4 linked regions of the Stegostoma tigrinum genome follow. The protein of the gene in region 2 interacts with the protein of the main gene of each other region in a pairwise test. Links are inferred from orthologs where the notes say so. Each region holds a gene or a part of one and is shown on either strand. Other genes may lie near its edges. The genes, in order: zinc finger protein 512B, fhl3a, fosl2 and gcm2.

Region 1 (7,694 bases), on a different chromosome or scaffold from region 2:
CAACTGGATACAATTGCTCTACAAAATTTTACAATTAGAATAAATGAATAGAATAACTGCAATTAATTATATATGACCTGTGGTTATTTGCTTTTGTGACAACTCAGTGCATTTAATATGCTCAAATTATTCAAACTTTGTTGCACTTTTCATAATGCCACACATAAGTAGTTTGGTGATGTTGTTCCATAAATTTTATGAATAAAGGTATTTTTTAAAACAAACAAAACACAAGAGCTTAAACAGCCGGACTTTTGCAGCCTAAACTGTAATGACTCAAAGTGAACATCATTCATTGTGTCATCAAAAATACATACTCCAAGAAAATAAAAAAAAGTTAAGAAATCATTATTTGAAAGATTTTTTAAAGTCCTCATCAAGCTGCAAGATAGTATTACTGGGAAATGGAAGACATGATTTTAGCTGTTTTTGCAATGTCTTTAGCAATATTTGAGAAAGGAAAAAATTTTGCCCATGTCCTGTTGCAACAATGTGCTACACTGTAAACTTGGGCTGAATGTCTGAATTGGAGCAATGTGTTATTTTTATTAGTCTCATTGACTAAACTCTGTAGGCTCAAAAAACAAGAGTGTTCATTTAGTGTTCATCAAATTGTGGGACAATGCCAGTAAGAACTTGATTAATCTGAGATTTATCATCACCAATTTGCAGTCACCTGATGTTTGCATTTGGCCTGCTGCCAGCTGCCTGGAGAATTTGGAGTTCAGACTCCTGATGTGCAAAGGAGGTTTGATTGAATTTTAATTTGTTATTTTGACATTACTCGTCTATGAGTCAGGTTTTGTCAACATCTGGTAGCTTTAGATACCCAAGCTAACTGGACTGATTGGCAGGCCACCCAAGTGAGTAGGAGATAAGCTAAGTTAGAGAGCAGCTGCTAGGTTTCTTGGCTTTGAGCTCCTTGCATTATTGGACATCTCATTGCCAAAGTCAGGTGAATCTAACATTTGGTAGCAACAAAAAGTCTGCTGTCTGATAGGTAATGTCAGCAACCTCTCATTGTGGAATTTAAAGGGAGACTCAATACAGCAGCCTAATTGAAGCCACAATTTTCCTATTTATGTGACAATAACCGCCTTGTGGCTTCATAAGTAAAATGGAATGATAATCATTATTGGACCATTAGTGATGTCAAGCCTCGACAGTGTTTGTATGACATGATTCTGGTCATCAATGTGTAACATTTTTCTCATGAGTGTTTTATGCATTAAAATGTAACATCAATTTACACTCCATATCTGTATTACACTTTTATAGAGTTCTGTGATCATATTTATAAAAAGAACCTACACAAGGAAACTTGTGCTGTAATTGCATCGGCAAAACTGGAGAAAAGGGCATCAGATGACGGGAACTGCAGATGCTGGAGAATCGCGATAACAAAGTGTGGAGCTGGATGAACACAGCAGGCCAAGCAGCATCTTAGGAGCACAAAAGCTGACGTTTCGGGCCTAGAACCTTCATCAGAAAAGGGGGATGGGGAGAGGCTTTTGAAATAAATAGGGAGGGGGGAGGCAGATCAAAATTGGAGAGGAGACAGGCAAGTTAAAGGGGCGGGGATGGATACTCACCTCTACAGGCTCCATCCTCGCCCCCCCCCCCCTTAACTTGTCTGTCTCCTCTCCACCTATCCTCTCCACTATCCATCTTCGATCCGCCTCCCCCTCTCTCCCTATTTATTTCAGAACCTTCTCCCCATCCCCCTTTTCTGATTAAGGGTCTAGGCTTGAAACGTCAGCTTTTGTGCTCCTAAGATGCTGCTTGGCCTGCTGTGTTCATCCAGCTCCACACTTTGTTATCTGGAGAAAACAGTATTGTTTTTACAAAATGTTTACAGGGACAGTTTCCATTATGAACCGGATCAAGATTTGTCATAGAAATACTGTGTAGCCAAATTCACCTCTAACTTCACTTACAAATCTGCTGATGATGCCACCTCTGTAGATCAGATCAGAGTACACGAAAGGGGCAGCCAGCTTAGTGGCATGATGCAAAGACAACATTCTCTCTTGGGATGTTAGCAATATGAGTTGTTCATCAACTTCAGCAAGTGGAGTGGAGGATGCACCCCTGTCTGTATCAATGGTGCTGAGGTGGAGGTGGTCGAGAGTTTCAAGTTTCTTGGTGTATGTGTCACCAATGATCTATTCTGGTCCATCCATGTTGATGCTACGGACGAGAAGGCACATCAATGCTTTTACTTCCTCAGAATGCCATGGACATTTGGCATGTCTACAATGACTTTTACCAATTTTTATAGATGCACCATAGAAAGCATCCTATCTGGATGAATCACTGTTTGGTATGGCAACTGTTTTGCCCAAGACCACAAGAAATTAGAGTAATTTCTCTGTCTACACTTCATGCTACCTTGGGAAAGCAGCCAACATAATGAAAGACCCATTCCACCCCTGTTTTAGTCTCTTCCACCCTCTACCATCAGACAAAAGATATAAAAGTTTGAAAATGCATACCAACACATTTAAGAACAACTTCTTCCCCACTTTTATCAGATTTATGAACAGACCTCTCATATATTAGAGTTGATCTTTCTCCGCACCTTCTCTGCAGCTATAACACTATAATTCTGTATCCTGTTCTATTACTCTGATTACATACGTAAGCTATGATTTGTCTGCTTAGCAAACAAAATAATACTTTCCACTGTATCTCACTATATGACTATAATAAATCATACTGAATCAAAATGTACAAATTTAACTTGGGAGACCCAATTTGCTTTGTGTTCTTGTCCAAATGCACCAACTGAAGACAAACATTTTCTAGTAGAATGTGCACAATGTTCTGGAATTTGACACATACTGTATTATTGTAATGGAAACTTATCAAATGTACACCATTTATTTTGTACAGGTCCTTCATTTTCTTGGTTTTAATATTGCATTTTATGTATTGCCTGATTTCTATGTGATGATTTGAGCTTCAATCATTCAGTTCTGACAAATCTCATGTTCGTCTCCACAGATGCTTCAGACCTGATACTTCCAGCACATATTGTTATTGATTCAGGCTTCCAGTACGAACATTTATTTTTCTTTTGTGACTAGATAATTTATCCACTTTCCGTCCTGAATGATTTTAAAATTTTAAATTTCACTTCTATTGAAGCGAGAAGTGTAAGCGATGAAAAGTTTCATCTGCCATACTCCTGAACAGCACGCAAACTCTCGGTGAACAAGGAAAAAAAACCTTGAGTTTGTCGACACTTCTTATCTTACGCTGATAGTCTAGGGTGAAAGCGTTCTGCACTTGTCTAATATATCTCTTGCGATTGACCGCATCCAACTGCGTGCTTTTGAAAGTATTGTGAGCAGCAAATTGCTCTAGCAATAGGAACGATCTATCATCCCATCAAAGTGATACGTAGCTTACGCCCTTAGATTTTGCTTACACCCAAAAAAAACTTACGGTGTAAGAATTGTTCCCTTTTTTGTCCTGAATATTGATTTGTCAGTTACGAAACCTCTCAATGAACTCAGCTGTTCTTTTGACTTTTTATGCACTTTAAAAAAGACTTCGCACAATTCCTTTTCCACGTGATTTTCAGCATCCCAAACTGAGACATTTTACCTTGTTAAATCGCGTTATGAATTATAAATTGTTTCCCCACTGTTTGAATTGCTGTCCACCTTTGCGAATAAATGTTACTTGGCCCATGTCGACAGTAACAATTTTACACAGATCACAAAAATAAACCACGCATTAGTTATATATTAACTTATTCCAAGACGATTTCAACACAATTGTTCTGTAATGTAAGTAGAATGCTAATAACTGACTAGATGTAAAGTTAACTGCACCGTTTTCAGGCCCGGATATTACTTCGTGGTTCTTTATCACGTCGAATATGGCACGTTAATTTTCAAATTACTGTCAAGTCTCTCACCTTTGTTTTTAGTTCAAAATAAGACATGATTTTCAAAAGTGGTTGTTCAGACTAAACATGAAAACACAAAGCACTTTATGCCCCGAAGAGATTTTTCTACTTTTATCTTGGACATAAATTGGGCTGGTCTCGAGTTGTCGGTAGGCGTTGTCAAATCTCGTCTCGTAAAATATTTTGAGATACTAAGGGCCTTGTTGTTGAAGCAAATTTTTGTTTATATTTGGAAAAAAATAGTTTTAGTCGAGTTTGGACAAAATAAAGACTGCTGCAGATAGTATTACATAAACACGAAGTTACATTTGTGAAGGAGGTGGAGGCAGTTCTTCTGTAGTTTCGACTTGGGTCGCGGATCCTATTTGTGCAATGATATTCGATGCAAGTATGTAATCTGTCGTCTGTTCTTGGCAGGCACGAAGCAGACATTTGCAGCGTTGAAAATGCAGATTTGCTGCTTGTGCTGGAACTTGAAAATCGTGCAGCACTAAATAGTAACGCGAGAGTTGAAACTTACCTCCTCACTGTACAACTGTCAAAGGACAAGTGGAATCGCGCATGACCCAGGAATAGAGTCTACTGTAAGGCCCTGAAGATAATAATCTAACCAGAAATTTTAAGGTAAGATGCCCGATTTTGTGAGAGTCTCCCTTCCCTTTGGCCGCCGCCTCGTATTTTCCACCTTTTTCTTTGTTTTTACTCTTGCGATTGTCGATCGATCGGGGCAACTTCAGGTGATGCAAAATGTTTTTATGCCTCTTTTTTACGCGGCCAGCTGAGTTTGCCTGCTTCTTTAAAATGTCGCCATTTTGCCTCAGTGCTACCGCAAGCTCATCTTGCTGTCGAGCTGGACAAACAATGTTGCAGCGTTTGCGATCGTTACAGTGTGTGTGTGCTGGCGAGTTGAAGGAGGAAGTCGGCGTTTTGTGTGTTAATGAAGGAAGGTGAGAGGTTCGAGCCCGGGGGAGAACGTCAGAACTTCTTGTGGGGTTTTCTCCTTTTTTTTGAACTGGGAGCGCGCTGCCTGGCGCGCGTGCACGCCCGGATTCCATGTTGAGGGCTGGCGCGCGCCCGCCGACCGCGGTGGTGGGTGGTTTGGGAGCGCGCGCTCGTGCCCAGCTTGCACCCCACGCCCCCCGGCCCACACCATCATCAGTGCTGGAACATCCCACCAAATGGGCATCTGTCTATTCGATGCGAGTCTCATGGGGCATAAGGTTTTGCCTTCATGTCTTGTACTTGGATGGAGTTCTTTACATGTATACATCGAGCTGTGGTGGAAGGGAAAGCCAAGCACTCCAGTTGCGGTCTTGTTTTGGTCTGGCCAGGATTTCATTCCGAGGGTGTGCCAGAGTCCAGATTGTAAAGCCAGTGCCCCGAAAACAGCGCTGTTAAAAGGCAAACCTGCTCACTCGGGTGAAACACGGATTGAATAGAGGTGTTCAAAATTAAATTATGGAAGGTCTCGCTGGACTGGAGAAGGAGATACTGATTCCTCTGGCAATCAGCCAGAGAACTGAAGGAAAGATGAGACTTCTTCCACACAGAGGGTTGTTCAGATCTGGAATATGTCAACTGATGGCGTGATGGACACAGGTTAGATCGAAACTTTTAGGCAACGTTCGATATCTACGTGGAGAGGACTAAGTAGCAGACTGTTGCGGGAACGGGTGGTGTGGCGGACGGAGTGGAGAGCGATGCGATCAAATTCGTTAACACCTTCGCATGATTGGTTCAAGCATCACAGACTAAGTGGCCATCTATGCTCTAAGGTCGTGCGATTAGTGACTTTGCCAAACAGGTGCCCACAATTAATCTCAATTCATTATCCAAAAAAGGAAGATTATTAAAGAATGAATCAAGTCTAGAACAGTAGAGAGGATTAAAAAAAAAACTGAATGTGAGGGGTCTCAGTCTGTTGCAGGTGGATAAATGACAAGGTGAAGGCACTGACATATTGAGTTAAAGGGCTAGAGGTGCTTTGGTGTTTGTAGGAACAGAAGTTGTGGTTGATAATCATGACAGAAGTTGAAGCAGGTGGTGACAGCTTTGAGTTGATGAGAGGCAGCATTGTGTCTGTGAAGTGAGAATGACAGGCATTTATGTGTGCCTTGCATAGCACTTGGGATGTTTCAAAGCAAAGTTACTGTTCTGCACAATCATAGAACAATACAGCACAAATGGCAATTCAGCCCATTATTGCCAGTACTGACCCCCTTATAAAGCTATCTAAAATAGTCTCTCTCCTCTGCTCTTCCCTATAATTTTCCTCCTACATTTATTTAGCCAATGCCTTTTAGAAAGCTACTCGTAAAACTACTCCACCATTTTGAGGCATGTATTCGAGATCAAAACAAGTTGCTATGTATAAACTAATTCATCATACTTGCTTTTGACAGTCACCTATATCTAGGTCCTCTAGTTGTTCAACCTTCCCTAAACAATTTTTATCTTTTTTCACTCCTTCAAAGTTATTCATAAATTTGCATACTTCAGTGAAATGTGCCAACTTTTGCTATTCAAAAGGAGAAAACAAGCTTCTCTAGTCTTTCCACGCAAGTGAAAATTCTCCTTGCTTGTTCCATTATAGTAAATTACTTATGTATTTCTGGAGTCTTCTCACCAAGACCTTGACATCCTTAGTGTGGTGACCAGACTCTGAGGTCTGACCAATGTTTTTCTTTAAAATGAAATTAAAAAATGTATGGCAAACCTTCCTTGTTTTTACTCTTTTTTTTCCTCTAACAGGAATATCAAAGGTTCCCTATAGCTTCAAAAACAAAAGCCTGCTTTGACATATTCTGTCACTTTCAAAGATGTCTCTATTTCTGCATCACCTTTAAAATTGTTTAATAATTTAATATTGCTTCTTATTCTTGTAACCAAAATAGACCAATTTGTAGTTCTTTATCTGACATTTGCCTTGTCTACCCATTTGACCAGTGTGTTTTTTCTTCTGAATTCAGTTTTTCTTCTCTTCACTTGCTGCTAAATTTCTGAATTTGATGTCAACTGCAGATTTTGAAATTATCCTGTGAAATTATATTCAAAAACAAACATGTTTCTAATATTGACCCCTGGAGCGTATTCCTGCCTGCAGACATGAAAATTGACCATTCACCACAAAACTATGCTTCCTGGCCCTTATCTAATTCTATATCCAAGCGACCTTTGTTACGTTATTCTATGAGCTTCAGAATTACAAACAGTATACAGCATTTTGTAAAATGACTTTTGGAATTATGTATACACAACATCAACTACAAAAACACTGATGTTTCCAAACTCCACTGAAAATGTTGAATTTATACACATTAAGTTGCATGTGCTCTTAACTGACTATTCTTCAAGATTTTAAATGCTTTTTGGTTTAAATAAATATTGAGTCAATATTATTACATTTTCTTAACAAAACCAGTAACAGTTACTCAGGACAGCTATCTCCAACTGTAGGACGTTTTATAACATCATCATAAAATCTGACATTATTTCACAGTAAAACCCTTTGCTTGTCACTTTTTACAGATACTTTTCACATCAACGGTTAGTATCCAATTAACAAATATTGTTCAGATAATGTGTAATTTTTCACTATCAGCCTAAATTCTTTGACAGTTTCTCCACCCCAACATCCACGTTCCTGCAATCCTGCATAACATCATCAGCTCCCCTCCACCAGCATCATCAATTTCTCCACCTCCCGAGCTAACATTCTCAGCTCCTCCACAAACGCTTACCATACTCATCAACCATCTTCAGCTGGACCGAACCT
Region 2 (8,010 bases):
AGAGCACAGAAGTAATTTACAAGAATGGTTTCAGGATTGAGAAACTTTGGTTGGGAGCATAGATGGAAGAAGTTGGGATTGACCTCCTTAGAGAGAAGAAGGTTAAGAGATCCGATTGAAGTTCCCAAAATAATGAACAGACTCGATACAGTAGATAGGAAGAAACTGTTTCGGCTTGTAAAAGGAAGAAAAACAAGGGGCATAGGTTTAAAATGATTTGTAAAAGATTGTTATGCAAATAAAAACACTTCCGCACAGTGAGTAGTTAGCGTCTGGAATATAGCCAGGAAGTGGTGGGGGCAGGTTCAATTGATTCAAAACAGAAATTGCTGGAGAAACTCAGCAGGTCTAAAGGATATTTGGATAGAAATAATGTCCAAAGGGCATAGGAAAAAAGGAGGAAATTGGGAGCAGACAATGGATGCTCATTTTAAGAGCCAGTGCAGACATGATGGGCTGAATGACCTCTTTCCGTGCTGTGACATTTCTGAGATTCTGTGAAGGGTTACTCTGGTGACTTGGGCATAAAGTCTAAGTTGCCAATTGAGAATAATCCTGTCAGAGATACCATCTTGCAGAACAAGGGTTAAAATTAGGCTCTGCTTCTGTTCTAAGGTGGGCATAAGAGATTCCATGGCAACAACCTTGGTGTCCTTGCCACTGTTTCACATCACAAGAAAAACATCAGCCAGTCGTTATTACATTGCTGTTAATGAGGAGTCTTTTAAGTGCAAGTTGGTTGTTTGGCTAAACTTCAAATGTATGTCCATCTGTAAAATACTTTGGGATGACCTGAGATTATAAATAGCGCTATACAAATGTTTGTCTCTCACCTGACAGCTCACGTACAGAGTTGTAAAACTGTCAGATTTAGTTAATTGGTATTCTGAAAATTAGGGTGTAACTTTTGTCAGGCTAGCGAAGGAGCAGATCACCTGAGCATTCCCTCATCATTCAAGGGCAAAACAAGAATAATCTATAGTGCATTATCCATCTCAGGAAGAGTGTTAATGGGGGCCAGTGTAGTTCACCTCAGTGTTTAAAGGTTATAGAGGGAAAAATAATCTTGGTTCTAATACTCATCCACTACAGTCCCGGGTCACATTCCCGACCCGCGGACTAATGTTAATTGACCACTTGCGTATAATGCTGTGGAAAACTAGGGGAAACAGACACTTGTTTGAAAAGTGACACAGCAAGTATACATTTCCAGTCAGAATCTTTGATTACCAAAAATAATTGCCATTTGAAGCCTCTAAATTTACATGGAAATCTATGTATTGCCGAATATGTCAAACGTCTCAAACTATTTTATATATAAATCCCTTTTGGAACTTCAGTGAATATTATTATCTAGATATTAAAACGGTGATTTTTTTAAAAAAATCCTGAATTGTAGTACCGAGCCGTTCAAGCAGTTTAATCCAAACTTGAAATTTGGGGGTGGGGTTTCTTTTCCTGGTGGAATATTGATTGAACTGGTATCAAAAGCCCAAACTGTCAATGCATTTTTTTCGCCCATTCATAGTAAACGTGTGTGTTAACTTGGCGCTGGAGGAAATTATATTTAAACCAGGGTCTACCAGAGACCCCACCGAAATCACACATTTTTCACATTGCTCTGAAACTAGTTACAGTTCGTTTGTACTCTCTACATTTTCCGTGGGAAGGTGACTCCCAGAGTATGTGCTACACTCAAGAGAGAGGTCTGCTTTAAGAAATTAATTATTTCCAAACCACACTGTCTTGCTTTTATTATGGCTCCGTCAATTCCCACATCTTCTCGCCATCCCGATCCACTCAGCAGATCTTTTTCCACTTAAAACTGGAAGTAATTGTGTTCCAATTTGAAAGCTTGAAACGTCAAGCGAAATTGACAAATTCCTCCTTTGCGTCGCAAACGTTTCAGATTGCATGGATAATTCTAGATTGCATCATAGCAGGGCTTCGCCATTCATTAAAATCCACAGATTTACTGAAACGTCTAAACTGCGGAGTTTCTTTGGACCTCAAGCGATTAGCTTTTGACAATGTCTTTGTATCAAATTGCGCCAAACCGCTGAGGAAAAGGGAATGTCCAGGATGAATGCTGGGCTGGTAACCTAATACGAAATAGCAGGATAACGGGAGCGAGGGGGAGAAGCACTTTCAGGACTCGTAAAACTGTTGAAAGTCGATGTATATCGCTTCACTTTCAAAAGAAAAACTCTGCAATTTGCAAAGCGACTCCCCTCTTTAGAACTTGTCTCTGGAGTCCCACAGCTCACATTTACTCTGTAAATGTCAATCAGTGGGTGTCTCAGTAACAGTGGGCGCATGTGCCCTGATTAAGGCAGTTATACTGCAGTTTTCCTCAAACTGTAGCAGTTCAGTTCTGTAGTGTCTGAGTGTTGATGACCTGAGACGCTTAATGGCATTTTGCTTAAAATACGACCAATTGCCCTGAAGCGCCAAAAGGGTAATTGCAGTGGTCAGGAACAGCAAAAAGACAGGCGACCCTTTAAGTGCAGTTGTAAACTGTACATTCCACATAAAGTCGAAGAGAAGCTGCCAACAAAATGTGCAGTTTCTTCTCCGCTTTAATCTACGCATAACGACGGCCTCAATGACTTTACATAGCCAGGGGAACCACACTGTAGCAGGGTATAATCTGCAGGGCAAAGCACATTCAGGGAGCTTTAGAAACACTACCTAAAACACATAACTCCAGGTGGTTTCCTAACAGAGAGTCAGAAGCTGCACGAGCGGCGCTAGTAACAGTAGATTGTCAGATATCAAGAGAGTAAAAAAATTGGACACTTACCAACTGTATTTTCAATGAACTCAGGTCAGTGATCAAAGCACTGCTTTAACATAAATGCTTCAAAGGCACACTGTGCTGAAAAGCTTTGTCTTGCTTTTTCCTGCTTGGGAAGTGGTTAGAGTTCTCCTGACACAGTCTGCAAGAGAAGCAGGCTTGGCTCTGACGGCTCTGGCAGAACAGAGGGAAGATTAGGGGCCCAACAAGTACAGGAAGTGACTCACGGGATCCCGCCCTGAAAACCCTTGTATCCAAGCCAAGGTTATTAGCAAACAACTAACCATCTCTGAGCCTCCTTCCACTGACTGACGCCGCGAGGTGTGACTAAATGGCACCTTGGACCTATCGATCACTACACACTGATAACACCATCAACACCTACTCAATCCGCCCATTATAACAAAGTGATCATATCAAAGAGGCAACTGCTGCAGCCTGGTCCAAGATAAACGAAAGAAAGGTGAATGCTACTTCCTCCTGAAGAGAATCGCAGCTGGAAAGATCTGGTGCCAACCTTCCCGAGAACTAAATTATGTGTTTTATCCCCTGGAACCCTGGTGATTTATTCCTATTCAACACAAAATGCAGTAGCTTTTGTACCTAGGGCACACGTAACCTATTTCAATATGAATGAAGTCCTAATGATGTCACTAATTTACACTATGAACCAGCAGAGGCAACGAGTGCTTCTATACAAGTAAGATGAGTGAAATCTGAAATTCAAACGGAAAATGGTTAGAAATGTACAAGTTTGTCAGGAAGATTGAACAAGACTAAGATCTGGGAGCACATCAGCAAGATCCAGTCAGGATCCCTGCCTGATGAGTCAGAAGCATATCCGGTTTCTTCAGACGCTGACCAACTGGTTGTGCCCTTTCATTTTGTAAAACATTTCAAATATTTAATAACAGTTTACATACTTTACATGGAGTAAAGGAAACACAGATGTAACTGGCAAAAATGAGCTCCAAACCAAACAAGCCCCATTGCATTGATTTAAAATAGAGACGTAGAAATTTGGCCAATTCTAAGCTTGGTGCATTGCCCTGTGCCCAAATGATATAATCCCAAGGCAACCTAAACCCCAGGCATCAGGCTAACAGTGCCAATGAAGATGAAACCGAGCCAGTTCTCCAACATTGCAGTGACCCTCAGGTAAATGATGGCAGATCTGGTTGGGTAAAGAAATGCCAGGATCAATTACTGTTACATGTATCAGAGATAATGGGAACTGCAGATGCTGGAGAATTCCAAGATAATAAAATGTGAGGCTGGATGAACACAGCAGGCCAAGCAGCATCTCAGGAGCACAAAAGCTGACGTTTCGGGCCTGGACCCTTCATCAGAGAGGGGGATGGGGAGAGGGAACTGGAATAAATAGGGAGAGAGGGGGAGGCGGACCGAAGATGGAGAGTAAAGAAGATAGGTGGAGAGAGTATAGGTGGGGAGGTAGGGAGGGGATAGGTCAGTCCAGGGAAGACGGACAGGTCAAGGAGGTGGGATGAGGTTAGTAGGTAGATGGGGGTGCGGCTTGGGGTGGGAGGAAGGGATGGGTGAGAGGAAGAACCGGTTAGGGAGGCAGAGACAGGTTGGACTGGTTTTGGGATGCAGTGGGTGGGGGGGAAGAGCTGGGCTGGTTGTGTGGTGCAGTGGGGGGAGGGGACGAACTGGGCTGGTTTTGGGATGTGGTGGGGGAAGGGGAGATTTTGAAACTGGTGAAGTCCACATTGATACCATTAGGCTGCAGGGTTCCCAGGCGGAATATGAGTTGCTGTTTCTGCAACCTTCGGGTGGCATCATTGTGGCAGTGCAGGAGGCCCATGATGGACATGTCATCTAGAGAATGGGAGGGTGAGTGGAAATGGTTTGCGACTGGGAGGTGCAGTTGTTTGTTGCGAACTGAGCGGAGGTGTTCTGCAAAGCAGTCTCCAAGCCTCCGCTTGGTTTCCCCAATGTAGAGGAAGCCGCACCGGGTACAGTGGATGCAGTATACCACATTGGCAGATGTGCAGGTGAACCTCTGCTTAATGTGGAATGTCATCTTGGGGCCTGGGATAGGGGTGAGGGAGGAGGTGTGGGGGCAAGTGTAGCATTTCCTGCGGTTGCAGGGGAAGGTGCCGGGTGTGGTGGGGTTGGAGGGCAGTGTGGAGCGAACAAGGGAGTCACGGAGAGAGTGGTCTCTCCGGAAAGCAACTGTTACATGTATGTTGGGAGGAGGGAGTGGTTGCTGGGGCATGTTGAGAGGTTAGGTTTTATATTGGTGGAGAGTGCCAAAGGTGAGTGACAAGGAGGCTAGTGTTGGAGGCCGAGGCGAATCTGAAGTGTGCCGAGTGGAAAACTTTCAAAATAAAAGGCGATTGGTGGTGGTGGGAGGGGGGCGTGGGTGGAGCTCTAGGTATAAAGAAAATTAGACTCTGTGTTCAAGCAAATAAATTTGTATAAATAAATTTGGTTGTATGCAGCCCCAGGAGCTGATTTTACTGAATGTAGGCAGAACTGGGCAAAGCAACCTGCTGTGGGAATTTCAAACAGAGTGAGCACCACACCAACCCCCAGCTTGCTTTGAAATTAATTGCCCGTTTCAAGCATATGCCCTGAACACATTTGCCTCACCAATCTGCCTGGAACAGACATGCACACACGTTTCCAGCTGCTAAATTAGAGATTGACTGAGCTAGTTTTGGCTTGGAAAATGGGTATCATATGGTTGAATTCATCAGTCAGTATGCCCAAGATTATGTCACAAATCATAAATCCCACATCAGATGTCGTGTGTTGCTACAAATCAAAACAATCTTAAATATTTAATATTTCTAAGTTGCTTCCTGAAACTGAAAAATACATCCAAAAGTTGCATGATCTTGTGAATTATCAATTTACCTGTTCCAAGCACTCATTTCCTATCTCCTATCCTGGCTGTATTCCACGCCACTAAGTACCTCCCTGGCCCATTTTCCCAAACATTTCTTGATCTGTATAAAAAAACGGAAGAACTGCGGATGCAGGAAGGGGCAGCCAACCTGAAATGTTAATTCTGTTTGTTCCTTCACAGATGCTGCCAGACCTGCTGAGCTTTTCCAGCAAGTTCTGTTTTATTTCTTGATCTGTCCTGGCACTGCTTTCCAAAGAGATTTCCAAACTATTTACATTCCCACCCAGAGTGAGTGTTTCCCAACTGTAGTTATTCATTCTGAGATCTTGATATTCACTAGTCATCCCAATGTGCACTCTTCCTAGTGTGGTGGCTTACTCTTCCACAACAACTGAGGGCCCTCCTTAATGCACACAGTCTCTTTTCACCTATCAAAGAACTTGTACCTTCCTGCCAACACTCAATCTGACCACAGTTCCATCAATAGCTTTCTTCAGAATTCCCAAACCCCAGTACTCGTGTGCAATTGATCTCCAAAACTCTCCCAACTGCCCACACTTCCTGAATCCATCCACCGCCCATCCTCATTGTATCACAACTATTCGTATACACTGTGTCTTCCCTCCTGGTGCATGTAGGTCTTGCCATTTTCCCAATGATTGCCTCTATGAGCCAAGACCCTCCCTCGAGGCAAAGCTGAGCATCCCAGACACCCTGTCTAGTCAGTACTCCATTCACACCAGTGTTCCCTTCGCCGCTGCCCACCCTCAGTCATGTCTCAGCTTGGTGTCTTTCTGGCTGCAGTCTCAAGTCTCTCCACCACCCCCTAGTGGTGTATTGCAATGGTAGCAAGCTGCTAGCCTCAGATTCGCTGACAATTCTGGACACGCTGGATATTTGTGCCAGAGGAGATAATTATTGGAGATATTGGCTGAAATAATTCGATGAAGGCTGCTACCCTGTCATCAAGTCACCCTGTATTTACATGTGCATAGTACATGAGACTGGCCCAACTAGTTCAGAGCCAACTCCTAGAGTGAGTAGAATCCATAATACTCCTGTTTATTTATTTGCTTTCTTTCTTTTTTTTCTCCCCTAAGAACATTAGGTGACCATTTTGCTCTTTTTGACAAACAAAGCACTCATTTTTCTCGTGTCTTCTTTTGTACAAATTGTGCACCTTATATTGTTTGGTTGTGAATTTTTGGAGGACATGCAACAGCCTTTCTACTGACAGAGGATCCAGCAACAGGAACGTCAGGTGAAAACTCTCTCTCATGAAAGGTGTGTTTTCTGCTTGTTTCTTGGTGTCTTGTAGCCCATTCTGTCTGGACAGTACAGAGTGAAAAGGCAAGGGAGTTTACAATGATGAGTTTTCTTCCATTCATAAACTGTACATAGATCAAGTGTGTGTTGATGGTATCCTGTTACCAAGTCACCCCTTACTTACATGCACATAGTACAAGACACTGACCCAGCCTGTTCAAATTCATGTCCTAGAGTGAGTAGAACTCCTGACACTCCTGTTTATATCTGTCAGCCAGGACTCCCTGATTGGCCCAGATTTACAGCCCCAATCAGGGAACACATTCTACAAGACCCACCCAGTTGACTGCATTCCAATTACTACACTGGCTAGGTACTACATTCAGTTGCCTCCCCCTCAACATCCTACTGAATGACAAAGTTTTCCCAACAGGCCTCCAACCAGTGGTCTCAACCCGCATGGATTACATTTAAATTATGCTCAATATTTCCACTTTTGAGAAAGAATTTAAATAAAGGCCACCAATATAAAATAGCCACCAAGACATCTAGAAGAAACCGCAATACCCAAAGAATGGTAAGAATGTGGAACTTGCTACCACATGAGCAGTTGAAACAAATAGCATACTACCGATGGTTTTAAGTGAGAACTACTCAAGCATTTGAGGAAGAAATGTATCATTTACGGCTGTAGATTTAGATGAGGAATTGGAGGAGGCTCAAATTGACTATAAACGTATGGACTATTTGCACCAAATGGCCTCTTTCTGAGCCATATATACTGTGAACTTCCATGTAAATCACATTGTTATGGGGTGTGGTTTCTAGTTATAGCTATTGAGCATGTGCCAAAACAGCTATGTCACAGAGATAATGGGAACTGCAGATACTGGAGAATCCGAGATAACAAAGTGTGGAGCTGGATGAACACAGCAGGCCAAGCAGCATCTTATGAGACACAGAATGTTGGAGAAACTCAGCAGGTCTGGCAGCATCTGTAGAGAGAGAAACAGTTAATGTTTTGAGTCTGGTCTGACACTTCTTCAGAACTATGTCATAAAGATGTTAGATC
Region 3 (7,452 bases), on a different chromosome or scaffold from region 2:
TCCTTTTCCCTACTGTGGACACAGGGTGCTGACTTAAGGAGTTTGGCAAAAGAACTGAAGGAAACATGAAAATATTTTTGGTTTCAAAAAAAATGCAGCCAGTGGTTAGGATCTGGAATGCATTGCCTGAGAGTGTGGTGGAGGCAGATTTAACTGTGGCTTTCAACAGCAAGTAGGGTAAGCATCTTAAAACATTCACTAGTCTGTGGGGATAGGGCAGACCCTGATAGGCTGAACAACCTCCTGGTCTCCTGTGATTTCTTTGGAAGGAGGAAAACTGGCAAGTATTATAGAAGCCTATCAATTATCCTTTAGGCGTGAGCTCAAAATCTGTTATTGCAAGGTCATGAGGCCAAAACATCCAGACAGAAAGTTAGAGATTCTGGAAGGAAATGTAACTTTAAAGAAATCCTAGCTAGCCTTGGCCACAAGGACCCCGTAATAGCGCCTATTTGAGCCCAGGGAGATGGAGACATAAAGCATGGACAGATTGTGCACTATGTATCACTGGGGTACTAGAAATTTTCCATGTGTAAAAAATGCTATAAAAGCTAGAAATTTTCTAATCCGGTATGGTTTCAAGCCACAAGCTGCGAGAGCCAACAAAACACCCACTGTGCACAAAAAAGGAAGGAGGTGGGAGAGGGAGCTGTGGGGTGTGGTCACAAAGTTGCCTGTATAGCTGCATATTTACACTAAGTCAACAACTTAAACACACAACTGACAGAGCTCAGTCCAGGGAGCAGGATGCAAAGTTGGGAGGCCCAGGAACGGCAAGTAAGGGTGGGGCTGAGTGTACCACCGCGCCACTCTCCCCCGCCCCCCCCCCCCATACCAAGCGCCTCTCCACCTCACCAACCCTGCAAATGAAGGCAGTCGCTACCAAATATTAACAGGAATTCCAGTTAAGAACGGGGATAAATCTGAGGAGCAGGAGGAATGCTGCCAAGCGCTACCCGGAAAAGATTTGGAAATTGAGATTTCGTGGAGGGGGGGGGAATAAAAATCTTATTTTGGCTTGTGGATCGTAGGAAGGAAAGGGAAGAGGAGGGGAGGGCAGGGGGAGCGAGGTAAAGATAACATGTGAAAGCCCCTTCGTTACACTTTACCGTGCTGGCTCTGAGGCTGGGTAATGATTTCCGCTGCTGAGCTGCAGCAGAAGAGTCCGGAGACTTTTCTTTTGAAAACACACACAGTTACGAAACCGATTTTGTAACTCCAGCCAATTCTTGACTTGCGCAATTTCTTCATCATTTCTTCATCAACCTTAGAGCCAGGAACAGCGTGCGAGAAAGATTGCATAAAACAAATAAGGGCGGCCAGAAATCAGGGCTAGAGTTACAATGACAGCTCTCTAGAATTCCCTGATCTGGGAAAGAAATGGACTTTTCCCCTCAAATCTAATTACAGTCCTTATAAACTAGAGGCTTGATTTTTTTTTTAAATGGAAATGCAGACACTCCGATATTTGGGAAGGTGCTTCCTTCACAAGTTGTTTCCTATTAACGACATTTGGACCAACTTTGCGTTAGCCCGGTTAAAACCAAATGCTGGTTTTCAGGCAAGTTGAGGATGTTTAATATTGGAAACACTGATAGCGTCTGAATGCCATTCCCTGCCCTTTGTCAAGTTTCACACGAAATCTGAACAGCAAGAATAACAGGATTGGGGAGGGAGGGCTACTGTTGGAGCAGAGGGGGGGGGGGGACGAGAGCGAATGGGGCGTTATAATTTACAAACTAAAGAGAGAAAGTGAAAAATTCCTTCCAGCGTTAGCCCGTGACTGAAGCTACTCACTAATGTCAAAGGTGTCACTTCTTCACGTCAAACATGACCTGCAGACACTCAGCGGGAGAAAGGAGACCATCTGACGCCGCTCCGCTCCAACAACCTGGTGAATCACACTAGCGCCAGGCGCTTTAGCAAGCCTCGCCACGACACAGTGTGGTAAACACAGAGCGCCAGCTCTGACAGACAACGGCCGACTGGGAGCACGAAGCAACACACAAGCCATGAGTCCAGGGCAAGCGGGAGGGGGGCCGAAAGGAGGACTCTTGCACACAGATACACACCAGACATCACCGGGTATGGCCAGCGACAGGTTATGAAAACTCCAATATAGTGTGAAAAAATACAAAATTATTAAACCTGAGTGCGGTGGCGAACTTTGTGGGTGGGGGGGGGGAAACCCCAAAATTCGTACATAAAATTTATTTTTGGGGGGTTCAAATGTGTATGCGTGAGGAACCAGCCCAGCCCTTACCTGAGAAGCGCTGTTGAAATTGCCACCGCTCCCGGAGCTGCTGAACACGCTGTCCTGGTGAGCTGGAGACAAGCTGCTGCGGGACGATGAATCGTAATTCACTGGATACTCCTGGTACATGGTCTCCCCCCCACCCCCCCGGGAAAACAGGAAGACGGGGGGTTTCTTTTCCTCTCCCACTTTTTAAAGCTTGGACCGACCGTCCAATCTCTCCCAGGTACAGTCACTCCGATAATATTTTAACCAAATGTCTCAAAAATAAAATTCCAAAAATAAACAAAAACAAACAAAAAAATTTGCAAGTCCGTTTTTTTTTAAAAAAGACAAACTTTTTTCCTCAGTTTTTCCACGCTACTGTCATTCACCACGCGTTAAAACAAGTCTTCCTCTCTGCAACAGAGAAAAAAAATCCATAAAACTTCCTGGATTCGCTCTCCACACCAGCCCTCCTCTTTCTAAGTTGAAACTTTAATTAATATTTTATAAAAAAGAGTCACTTTTTTTTTCCTTTTCGTACACTTTTCGGCCCCCCCTTTAGCGGGTCTGATCGCTTTTTTTTCCCCGCAGTGACTAATTTTTTTTCGCCTTTGCACCGCCCCACCTCCTCTCCTCACCAATCCTCCCTCCCCTCACTCTATTAGTCTCCGCGTTTGCTGCCTTCTCCTCGCCCGAGCGTTGATGAGTCAGTGTTCTGGTATTAAACTCTGCTCTTTTTATTTCCAGCACTCCCGCGGCTCAGGATTCACGTCAAAACTGCCTGGTTCCGCCCAGCCCTCTCTCAGACTCTCTGGGAGGGAGGGAGCGAGCCCAGAGATAGCTTCTTCCACACTACCACCCTCCCTGTGACATTCAGCAATTCACAGCCTCCCCTCCCCACTGCACCTCGAAGCTTAATTTCCACTTTGACCTTTTGTTTTCATATGCCCGTCCATAGAATTTTTTTTATTGTTTAAAGGAACTTATTTGTAAACCAACAGTTGTGACATAAGGATCTTGTGTGAGGTCTGTATCTCTCTCTCTCTCTATGAGTAAGATTTGGCTGGTGGTAGCGTCCATTGACGTAGCGCGTTGCCTAAAAATGGATATTTGCGTCAAATGATGCGAGGTGTGTGTTTCCTCGGTTAACGTGACGTCTGTGTGGAGGGATTCCCTTTTCGTGTTGTTGGACAGAGATTCTATCGCCCCTCCACACACTCACACACCTACCCGCCGCCCCCCCACTTCTCTCTGAGAATAAAGCCTCAAGGGCGCGTTCCTGCCCACAATGATTTAGCTGCCTTGCACCGCCTACTTCCCCCTCTCCAAATATTTTACCTTCCCCTCCCCTCCCCGCAAAAGTCAAAGACCCCACCGCCCGTCCCTGTCCATTGTAGCTGTCGCTGGCTCCTCCCTCTTAGCGTTGCCGGATCCACGTCCAGAGATCGAGGGAAAGAGGAGACAGGAAATCGTGTGCCCACGGCAGAAGCTTACACCTTCGCGCGGTTCTGATAGATATCGCGCCCACAAGCGAGGGGAAAGGGTCGCTAGACATACACACAAGCTGGGAGCCACCAAGACGCTTTCTCTCCCACAAAACATGCCTCGTCGCCACAGAAATTTGAAGATACTTTTTTTATTTAAAGGATTTCTGACGGCTTCATTCAATTTTCCAAATCCCGAGTGTGTTTCAGAGTCTTTTACTGGAATAAAACGGTCACAAGTATCAGATTGAGTATGCAATAGGGAAGCGAAGTGAAATGCGTTTTGTCTACTGGGTTCTATGCAAATTTAGTTCGAAGTTGTGTATCTGGCGGCATCACCTTCCAGTCCACTAGGATAGCGCCCCCCCAACACGCAGACAAACACACACGAGTCCAAAAGAGTTTAGCCCAAACGTGATCGTTTCGCCCCACAGTGTAAACAGTTATCGCTGCACCGGGCAGGAAGCTTTCCTGCTCCTGAGATGCTGCTTGGCCGGCGGCGTTCATCCAGCTCCACGCATTGTTATCTCGAAGTGACACACTGCACGTACTGTACAGGATGGTGGGGAGAAGGGGGCGGTTCACACTCCCTGGCCTGTTTCCATGTGGAAAAAATCATGCAAAGGCTCTCATGTGTTGGAAACCCACATTTATTTTTACCATTTCTTGGTGCTAAAGGTTAAAATATAGTGAGCGATATTTTCCATTTCTTAAAAAAGACGCAACCCTGCGCCAGAGCTGAACTATTTCTAAACCTTGTGTTGATGCAAAACCTGCCCGAAATGTCTCTAACTCTTGCATTCATGGGCCTGAAGCAGAGTGACCTTATTCCTATGGAGGCGGGGGCAGGGGGGCAGTTAGGAGATGATGAGTTAGATATTGGGTTTTTTTTTAAAGACTAGTTTTAGTCGGAGGAAATGTAAAGGATACTGTCTGCCCGTTTTCCAGTAGTGGCACGGCTTCTGTAACAGTACTATTTGAAGACATGCGAATGGGTCATGCAGAACAGTTCGGGCAGCTGCCCCGTTTCGTTGCATTTAAGGGGAAGCCTGAGGGAGGAAGTAGGAATCGGGGGAGGGGTAGTGCTACTGAATTCCAGCTCGACTCATTTCCGAAGAAGGGTCCAGAGCCCAAACGTCAGCTTTCCGGCACCTCTGATGCTGCTTGGCCTGCTGTGTTCATCCAGCTCTACACCTTGTTATCTCCGTCCTATACCCTCTCATTTTGGCCGGCGGGGTTGGGGGAGTGGAAAGAGGTGTATGCCATGTGGCGCCGTGATAAAGTCACTGCCTCTGAACAAGGTAGATCTGGGTTCAAGTCCCTGCCTGCTCCCGAGGTACGTAGTAACACCTCTGATCGGGGAAAATATCCACATCTTTGAGAAACTAACGTCTTAGATTTAAAATTGACAACTTATCAGGCATTAGTTACTACTTATGGAAAACAGTTCTTGCCCCTTCTGTATTATTGTGCTTCTCACTTTCCGTCCTAAAAGGGATAACAAGGTGTAGAGCTGGATGAATACAGCAGGCCAGGCAGCATCAGAGGAGCAGGAAAGCTGACATTTCAGGTCAGACCCGAAACGTCAGCCTTCCTGCTCCTCTGCTGCTGCTCGGCCTGCTGTGTTCATCCAGCTCCACACCTTGTAATCTCAGATTCTCCAGTATCGGCAGTTCCTACTATCTCCGTCCTAAAAGGGTTGTCCTTCATGTTTTTTTGACTATGCCCCCAACGCTAAACTCTCCAGTTAGCAGCTTCTCTTCATCTGCCCAGCCTGCTCATTGTACAATCACTCATTAGCCTTATAAATTTCAAGGAAAATAATCCTAGTTTGTGTAACCATGTTAACTGGAGGACTCTCATCTGGCTGACATGGCATTCAGTTAAACGGACTGTTTCTGTGTTGGATATTGTGATGGGCTGGGACAACATTCCAGTAGCTGTACTGAAGCCTTGGACCACACGAACTCCTGCCACCAACCAAGGTGTTCCAGTACAGCTACAAGATGAGTATATATATGGGAGAGAAATGGTGGAATGTTTCCACTGGTTGGAGTCACACCTGGCACATAGAAAAATGCTGATGAGAGATAATGGGAACTGCAGATGCTGGAGAATCCAAGATAACAAAGTGTGAAGCTGGATGAACACAGCAGGGCAAGCAGCATCTCAGGAGCACAAAAGCTGACGTTTCGGGCCTAGACCCTTCATCGGGTCTAGGCCTGAAAGGTCAGCATTTGTGGTCCTAAGATGCTGCTTGGCCTGCGGTGTTCATCCAGCTTCACATTTTGTTAACATAGAAAGATGCTTGTGGTTGTTGGACATCGGTCATCTCAACTCCAGGGTGTCTCCGCAGGAGCTCCTCAGGGTAGAATCCAAGGCTCAACCACCTTAATCTGCTTCATCAATGACTTCCCTTACACATAGGATTTCCCCATTAATTGCATGATACTCAGTACCAATCACAACTCCTCAGACACTGAAGCAGTTCATATCAGTGAGGCTCAGATCACATTGATAAATAGCAAGTAGTACTTGTATCACACAAGTGCCAGGCAGTAACCATCCTCTTCAAGGGAGGATGTAATATCTTAAATCTTCTCTTGACTTTCAGTAGCATTACCATTGCTGAATCCACTGCTATCAACATCCTGGGGGCTTCCATTGACCAACTATATAAATACTGTGGCTACAAAGGCAGGTTAGAAAATGGAATTCTGTGGCAAGTAACTCATTTTCTGACTTTCCATCACCTATTCCATCATCAATAAAGCAAAAGTCAAGAGTGTGATAAAATACTTTACATTTACTTGGACTCCTTTCTACTATTCTCAAGTAGCTTAACATCAGCCTGGGAGAAAAAAAAAACACTTCTTGTCACCCTAGCTATTCCCTGCAGTGTTCCCTTTAACATTGTGTATATTGCTGACAATGTGCATCATTTCTGCAATAACTCATTGAGATTCCTCGGACAGCACCTTCCAAACCTGTGACTCTACCATGTAAAAGGACAATGGCAACAGACACATGGGGTCAGCACCATTTGGAAGGCCCAAGCCATACACCAAACTGACATCAAAACATATTGAGATAACAAGGTGTGGAGCTGGATGAACACAGCAGGCCAAGCAGCATCTTAGGAGCTGACATTTCAGGCCTAGACCCTTCATCAGAAAATGTTGGCTTTCCTGCTCCTAAGATGCTGCTTGGCCTGCTGTGTTCATCATGCTCCACACCTTGTTATCTCGGATTGTTCAGCATCTGCAGTTCCTATTATCTCTTTGAAATATATTGATATACCTTCATTGTCACTAGGTTAAACCACTGGAACAATCTTCCTGTCAATAACAGGACCCTGTGTACTAATGTATGTAGTTTTCAGTGTGTGCATGTGGATCACACTGTGAACTTGACTGATGATACAAAATTGGTTGTTAATGTAGTTCCTCAAATACTCTGGGGGATCTTGATCAGCTGGGCCCATGGGCCAGGGTGTGGCAGATGGAGTTTAATTTAGATAAATATGAGGGGCTGCATTTTGGAAAGGCAAATCAGGGCAGGACTTACACATTTAATGGTAGGATCCTGGGGTGTTGCTGAACAAAGGGGCCTTGGAGTGCAGGTTCATTGCTGTTTGAAAGTGGGAGCTGCAGGTAGAAAAATATAGTGAAAAAGGTATTTGGTATGTTTGTCTTTATTGGTCGGTGCATTGAATATAGAAATTGGAGG
Region 4 (6,842 bases), on a different chromosome or scaffold from region 2:
TTTTGTTGCAGAGTACATTCCCTGTTTCTCACTTGCTGACAGAAGAATTACACGCAATTGTTCGATTTTCAATACAATGTGCATCCATCAGCTACCCATCCTATTCCACATGATTAAAACTTTATAACAGAACAATGGTATCATGAAATATTAAATGTTCTACTTAAAGTTCCTGTGGATGTCAGGAAATTTGGCTCCTGGTCCTCTGTAGTCATGTTAGAAATATCAAACCACTTTTGATTGTCTCTGGCTTAAGTGCCACCAACGAGGTACAAGTTCTTAAAGAGACATGAGAAGTTAGGGCTTCTGATCACTGGATCTGAAAAGATTAAGTGTAAAATGACAGAGCTCTTCCAAGTTATCAAAAATTGTAACATAATATATTGTGACAGATTTATTGTACTGCTTGGTGAAACAGTAATGAATGATCACAGTTTTAATTTAATCATACATAATTACAATAAAGGGCTGGAATTGGGTACCTGCTTGAAAAATGGTAATATTTAATTGCATGCAAATTAGCAGCTTTAGTTTAGATTGTGTTGAGAAAATTATATCTCTGAGCTGTAATACATTCTTTAATTCTGTAGTGATCACAATTTAAACAAAATCAAAATTAGATTGAATAGGTTGGCTCATTCCCAGAAAAGTTTCAATATACTCAGCATTTTGTGAGACTTACATGCAGAAATACATACAGAAAGGGGATAATATTAATTACATAAATTTCCTTTGATTAGTTTATTTTGAAGAAAGAATCTAAAAATTTCACTGTGGTTCTTTTAGGGGGCATCTGTAATCCAACGTATGGAGCAAGTACTTTTGGAAAGTGAAGAAATGCCTCAAACTATAGAAAACTGAGCACCAAATCAAAAATCACTCCAAGTCCACCTGCTGAGAAGTTAAGATTTTAGAGCAGAGAAAGAGAACTCTTAAAAAAAAACAAGCTTCCTTCATAACGTATTTTATACTAATATATTTTAGAAGATTGTATTGCAGCACATCCAGTGAGTTGTCAAATAATTGTTTTTTATAAGCAGATTCAGTCCCATCTCCATCCCTATCTGATGTTTTACCTTTCCCTCCTCCCGTCAAACCTTTGTTTTGATTTCAAATAGGCCCAATTGTTCTTTGGTGAGTGGGATATTTGAGTAATATTTTACTATCTAGAAGGGCAAGACAGCAGATGTACAGGAGCACCACAGTTCCCTTCCAAGCTACAGACCATACTGGCTTGAAACTACATGATTGTCTGTCAAAATCCTGGAGCTCTCATCCAAACAGCAATATAGGTGGTCCTAAAGCAAAAGAACAGCAGCGGTTAAAGAAATGAGCTCACTGCTTTCTCTTGGGCAATTAGGGAATGGGCAATATTTGATGGCCTTGCCAGCTGCCCAAAACCTTTGAGTGAATATTTACAAGGTACATACCGGCAGCCATTCTCTTTCCTGATGCAAATCGGGTTCAATCTGTTAGAAACAAGCAGTCTCCTATAAATAAAGTTGTATTAATCCAACAATATACAATACCAGACTGCGAGTTACTCACTCTGCTGTTTTTGACGAGCTTTGTCACAGATGGCTGGTCTGAGCTGTAATTTGCCACCATTAGGTAAGGTGCAGTTTCTGGCGCAGATCACTACTCCGAGACAGGACTTTTTCAGGATTTGGCAGTTGTGGTTGTTGGTGTTCCTCATGGCCCAACCACTAAGGTGCCTTTGCGCATTTTTATCATCTGCAGTGTAAATATATCGTACATAGCCATCTGTCCATTCCTGGAACGTATCAAACTGCTTTATATCCTGCGAGTTACACACAAATATTGACTTATTTTCAATTGTATAAGGCAGCAGAGAAACAATATTACATGAGAAAAGCAAACGTGACCCTTTTCTAGGCCCCATACCACACGCATATTATGAGGCCAAATTTAGACCATTATTAGATCAATTTTAGATCTATGTCTTACTTATAAATCTGCAATCTCTCTCTAAAGTAAATCCAAACGATCAAATTGAAATTGGTTTACATGTGCATTGCATGTGTAAAATTTATCGCAAATTTTATTAAATTGCATTTGTTGCCATTCAGAACATCCGAATCCAACCCAAAATTGTCGACTTTCTTTTGAAATACATTAGATTTTAAACTATTAAGCACTTCCAAAGGAACGAGCTAAAATCACCAGCAAATGGGCGTTAATATTAAGGTGCAGGGACAGAATCATTTGCTGAAATCCACAGGTATGGACCTTTCAATGAAGGGTCATTAGACCCGAAATATTGTCTCTGGTTTCGCTCCACAGATGCTGCCAGACCTACTGAGTTTCTCCAGCTATTTCTGTTTTTGTTTCAGGTCTGGTTAAAATATTGTCGTCCTCAGAACGACTCTGATCCTGTCTCTACCCCATAAATTATTTATTTCAAAATGTTTCCAATTTAACTTTTGAAATTGAATTGAAAACATTAAAATAATGTTCATTGAGATGAATACAATATGCACAATTTTTTTTTCAAATGGAAGAAGCACAAAAATAAGCAAGACTGTTCCAAATTGATCTTTCCAGCCTGCTCGACCAACTTCAAGGATTTCAAAATTCGTTTGAGGAACGACATTTGACTATAACTTTTACCATTCTGCTAGAAATATCACATTTGAGCGCGTTCTCCTACAAGACAAATGTTTTACAAAAAAGTTACCTGGGGCAGTTTGGGGTCATTAATGTCCCAGGTGATTTTCATCCCGTAAGAACACACGCAGTCGGCATCTTGGTACTGGTCCCCTTTAGACATCTTGTCTCTGGGCCAGGAATCAGCTCCGCTCAACGACGCAAGGTGACATAGGCTGGCGTAGGACTCCACTAGCTCTCCGGTTCATGTACTGCGCAAAATAAACGGCAGAGTGAAGGAATCGTCAAAGATGCTGGAGGTATGAATTAATAGAGGCAAAACATACACGGAATGAAAAAAAAAGTTTGACAGGAAGTGCTCGTGTTCACGGAAACCAACTTAGGCATTTGTGTCCCATTTGATGCCGCGAGGAGTGCAACGCGCCGCTTTGCGGCTCTTTATCTGAAACCTTAAAAGACGTTCTGAACACTCCCTACATCCCCGGTTAACCTCGCGCTGATTCAGGATACACGCACTTTTTGACACAGTTGAATAGGAGTTGAACACCAGCACTAGCTTTCATGTCAGGTGAACCGTGTTGGTGACCTACGAAGATAGCCTGTTCTAATCTGCACGTAGACATTCAGTCCAACATGACCCGCCTGCCAGTGTCTCAAATACAGCAGCCTCCAAAGACATAATCAGCCGCAAATTGAACAGGAATTAACCACAAATTCAAGGTTAGATCCCACATCAAAACAAAGTCAGCAGAGATCTTGAAATGACCATGTAAAAACATTTGTAATAAACATTTGTAAACTTGCCTTATTGGAATTCTGATACCATACGATTCCTTAACAACTGAAGAAAAACGTTATCAGCACGAAGGTGATCACGTCCTACCAAACCGTCTGTCTAATGTGGGCAATACACAGGTGTTATGATGTGTGTAGAACATATGGCGAATTTTAGACGAACGTTTAGATCCTGTGAAAGTATCAATGAAAATGAATGTCCGTTCATTTCACCATAGATCAAAGTGAGCTTCGAGGTGTGTAGCTGATTGTTGGGGCGTTTCAAGTTGTTTTGGAGGTTATTTTGAACTGGAGATGACACAATGCATCCTAATCATCGAGTACTTGTATTTTTGTTACTTGTGAATCTGAGTTCGGTGAGAGGGATAAGACTCGAGATGCAGTTTGATACAAGCTAGAAAGGCAAGAAATGGGGTTATTTCCACAGTTAAACGTTTACCTTCGTTGGAAATTTTACAAGGTTGGATATTGATTTTTAGTTCAAACATTGCGATTTAAAAAAGCGTGAATTAAATTTCTGCAAATTGCTTGTCAACTGAAAACTAGTATTTTAAAAATCGGGTGCATGACAATTAGAATATTTAAATAATATCAATCGGGGTCAAGCGAAGATGAGGTGGAAAACATTCCTCATGCACGACGTTGTGCATTTTGAAAGTAAAGGGTATTTTGCCCTTTCCTTTATTTATATAACAACATTGCTAAACACTGCTTCACTTTGTCTCATTAAAGAGGAACCTTTCCGAGTGTAATGAATCAAACAGAGAAATAGGCAAACCCGTTGTCTAATTGTTTTGTGTAAACCTCGTAGATTTTTCAGTTTGGGATTCAGAAACCTGTCTGACGTTGTAGCCAAACTTGTTCCTACACTTGATTCTGGCAGAGCATTTATTAATTAGTCTGCATATCAGAATGAAACCATGGTCTATTCACGATTTCTTTAGCCATTAGACAGCACTGCCTGGCCAGTTAGGTCAGTTGGCTGAACAACTGGTTTGTGATGTAGAGTGATGCTAACCCCAACAATGTCGGTTCCATTCCTACACCAGCTGAAGTTACCACAAAGGAGTCTCCTCTCCAACCCATGTCAAATCACCACTAGTGGTTTCCAATGACAGAGCAGGACTACGGCGACTCTATTTTTAAAAACGGAACATTGAAGTTACATTTAAAATATATGAGAAAAATATGCCAGTTAGAATGAGAGGAAACACTGAATATTCTGCAGTTAGAACTGAATCGAATGATCGTATTCAACGAAATCGATACAAATATTCGTCACGAAGGTTAATCAACCCCGACCCCAGCTCACGTCCCACTAGCACGAAAAAGTTGACCAGCAAAAGGAAGTCAGAGCGCTAACGTCTGAACATTTCATGATCTGAGCTCTCTACTGGTCTAATCGCGCATTTCCTTCATAGAAATCTGCATACTTGACATAAAAATAAATAATTATTTACCTCAAAATACTGATTATTAATAAATAGATACCAAACAAAATAACAACCAGTACTCACACCAAATTGAACCAAAGTTGAACGCAAGATAAAATCAATATTGGCCAAGAAATTTAAACCAGTAGTGAGTACATGAACGCACTCCCCGACCCCACCCCGTTACTGGAACTAAATTCCTAAAAGATAAGATCTCCCCTAGTTTAGCCACACAATGGAACACAGCACACGATCTTAACGTATTTTGGATAATATTTTCATTGGGAAGTGTTTTTTTTAAATTTCCATTTGCCAAATGCCGCAAACATCCAAGCTCTTCAGGAATCTAACCATTTGTTTAACTCTAATTCGGAAGTGCACTAGGTTGGAAAACACCGTTTTTCTTCTTCGTCGCATTAGTTAAATAGCATCGAATCAAGTTGACAAAACAATAGCAAAACCAGGAAGGCTTCTTGAAACAAAGAAAAAGCTCCTTCAAAGAAATGTTCAAGGAAGTGATGTAAATTTGATATAAAGTAAACTGCCACCCTGCTCAAACCTGAGGTAGATGTGAATATTAAGAATTATTAATAATTCTTAAAGATTGATGCCCCATACTTTCAAGAGTTAGGAATTCTGTGGTATTTTAAATTCTGGAGCAATCAAATTAGCCGATAAATGAAGCAGCAATGAGCTTTTAAGAACTTATGGCAGTTACCGAAGAGCTAAGTAAAGGCAGTTTCAAACCACACAGTTACAAACGAAGTGAATACCTCAGAAATACAAATTGAACACACCACTATCTTAGTAATGTCGTATCAAACGAATAGGGGGGAAAATATCAAGATTTTACCGAACGTGAAATGTTTGAAGAACTGAATTGTGGCGACAAAATTGTAACTGGCAACATGAAAAAGGAGGTTTAAGAATTCCATTAAAAGCCTTCAAAATTATTTCGAAATAAAATCGTTCTGTATTTCAATTTTAGCATAAAGAATTGAGTCACATCAGTTGGTTAATTGCGGTATTTATTTTTAGAACATAGAACATAGAACATTACAGCGCAGTACAGGCCCTTCGGCCCTCGATGTTGTGCCGACCTGTCATACCGATCTCAAGCCCATCTAACCTACACTATTCCATGTACGTCCATATGCTTGTCCAATGACGACTTAAATGTACCTGAAGTTGGCGAATCTACTACCGTTGCAGGCACAGCGTTCCGTTGCCTTACTACTCTCTGAGTAAAGAAACTACCACTGACATCTGTCCTATATCTTTCACCCCTCAATTTAAAGCTATGCTCCCTCGTGATCGCCCTCACCATCCTAGGAAAAAGGCTCTCCCTATCCACCCTATTTAACCCTCTGATTATTTTCTATGTTTCAATTAAGTCACTTCTCAACCTTCTTCTCTCTAATGAAAACAGCCTCAAGTCCCTCAGCCTTTCCTCGTAAGACCTTCCCTCCATACCAGGCAACATCCTAGTAAATCTCCTCTGCACCCTTTCCAAAGCTTCCACATCCTTCTTATAATGCGGTGACCAGAACTGTACACAATACTCCAAGTGCGGCCGCACCAGAGTTTTGTACAGCTTCACCATAACCTCTTGGTTCTGGAACTCAATCCCTCTATTGATAAAAGCTAAAACACTGTACGCCTTCTTAACAGCCCTGTCAACCTGGGTAGCAACTTTCAAGGATCTGTGTACATGGACACCGAGATCTCTCTGCTCATATACACTGCTAAGAATCTTACCATTAGCCCTGTACTTTGCCTTCCGGTTACTCCTACCAAAGTGCATCACCTCATACTTGTCTGCATTAAACTCCATTTGCCACCTCTCAGCGGGGCTCTGCAGCTTATCTATGTCTCTCTGCAACCTACAGAATCCTTCGTCACTATCCACAACTCCACCAACCTTAGTGTCATCTGCAAATTTACTAACCCATCCTTCTACGCCCTCATCCAGGTCATTTATAAAAA

What was found.
Region 1: the proteins of fhl3a (region 2) and zinc finger protein 512B interact in binary tests that used the Homo sapiens proteins (3 or more experiments, as listed by UniProt). The two-hybrid records come from large-scale screens. The link is inferred for Stegostoma tigrinum from reciprocal best matches to the Homo sapiens genes FHL3 and ZNF512B.
Region 3: the proteins of fhl3a (region 2) and fosl2 interact in binary tests that used the Homo sapiens proteins (3 or more experiments, as listed by UniProt). The two-hybrid records come from large-scale screens. The link is inferred for Stegostoma tigrinum from reciprocal best matches to the Homo sapiens genes FHL3 and FOSL2.
Region 4: the proteins of fhl3a (region 2) and gcm2 interact in binary tests that used the Homo sapiens proteins (3 or more experiments, as listed by UniProt). The link is inferred for Stegostoma tigrinum from reciprocal best matches to the Homo sapiens genes FHL3 and GCM2.

The regions. Positions count from the first base shown.
Region 1 is NC_081372.1:31,173,620-31,181,313, reverse strand, and holds the start of zinc finger protein 512B, read left to right. Parts: upstream 1-4,689; 5' UTR 4,690-4,856; coding exon 4,857-4,866; exon of another isoform or gene 4,867-4,950; intron 4,951-5,058; exon of another isoform or gene 5,059-5,723; intron 5,724-7,694. UniProt on the Homo sapiens protein: Involved in transcriptional regulation by repressing gene expression. Associates with the nucleosome remodeling and histone deacetylase (NuRD) complex, which promotes transcriptional repression by histone deacetylation and nucleosome remodeling.
Region 2 is NC_081377.1:18,276,210-18,284,219, forward strand, and holds the start of fhl3a (four and a half LIM domains protein 3), read right to left. Parts: upstream 3,021-8,010; 5' UTR 2,804-3,020; intron 1-2,803. UniProt on the Homo sapiens protein: Recruited by SOX15 to FOXK1 promoters where it acts as a transcriptional coactivator of FOXK1.
Region 3 is NC_081357.1:18,018,418-18,025,869, reverse strand, and holds the start of fosl2 (fos-related antigen 2), read right to left. Parts: upstream 3,006-7,452; 5' UTR 2,878-3,005; exon of another isoform or gene 2,654-2,877; 5' UTR 2,384-2,653; coding exon 2,264-2,383; intron 1,911-2,263; exon of another isoform or gene 1,798-1,910; intron 1,173-1,797; exon of another isoform or gene 1,110-1,172; intron 1-1,109.
Region 4 is NC_081355.1:41,452,307-41,459,148, forward strand, and holds the start of gcm2 (chorion-specific transcription factor GCMb), read right to left. Parts: upstream 3,020-6,842; 5' UTR 2,792-3,019; coding exon 2,699-2,791; intron 1,802-2,698; coding exon 1,549-1,801; intron 1-1,548. UniProt on the Homo sapiens protein: Transcription factor that binds specific sequences on gene promoters and activate their transcription. Through the regulation of gene transcription, may play a role in parathyroid gland development.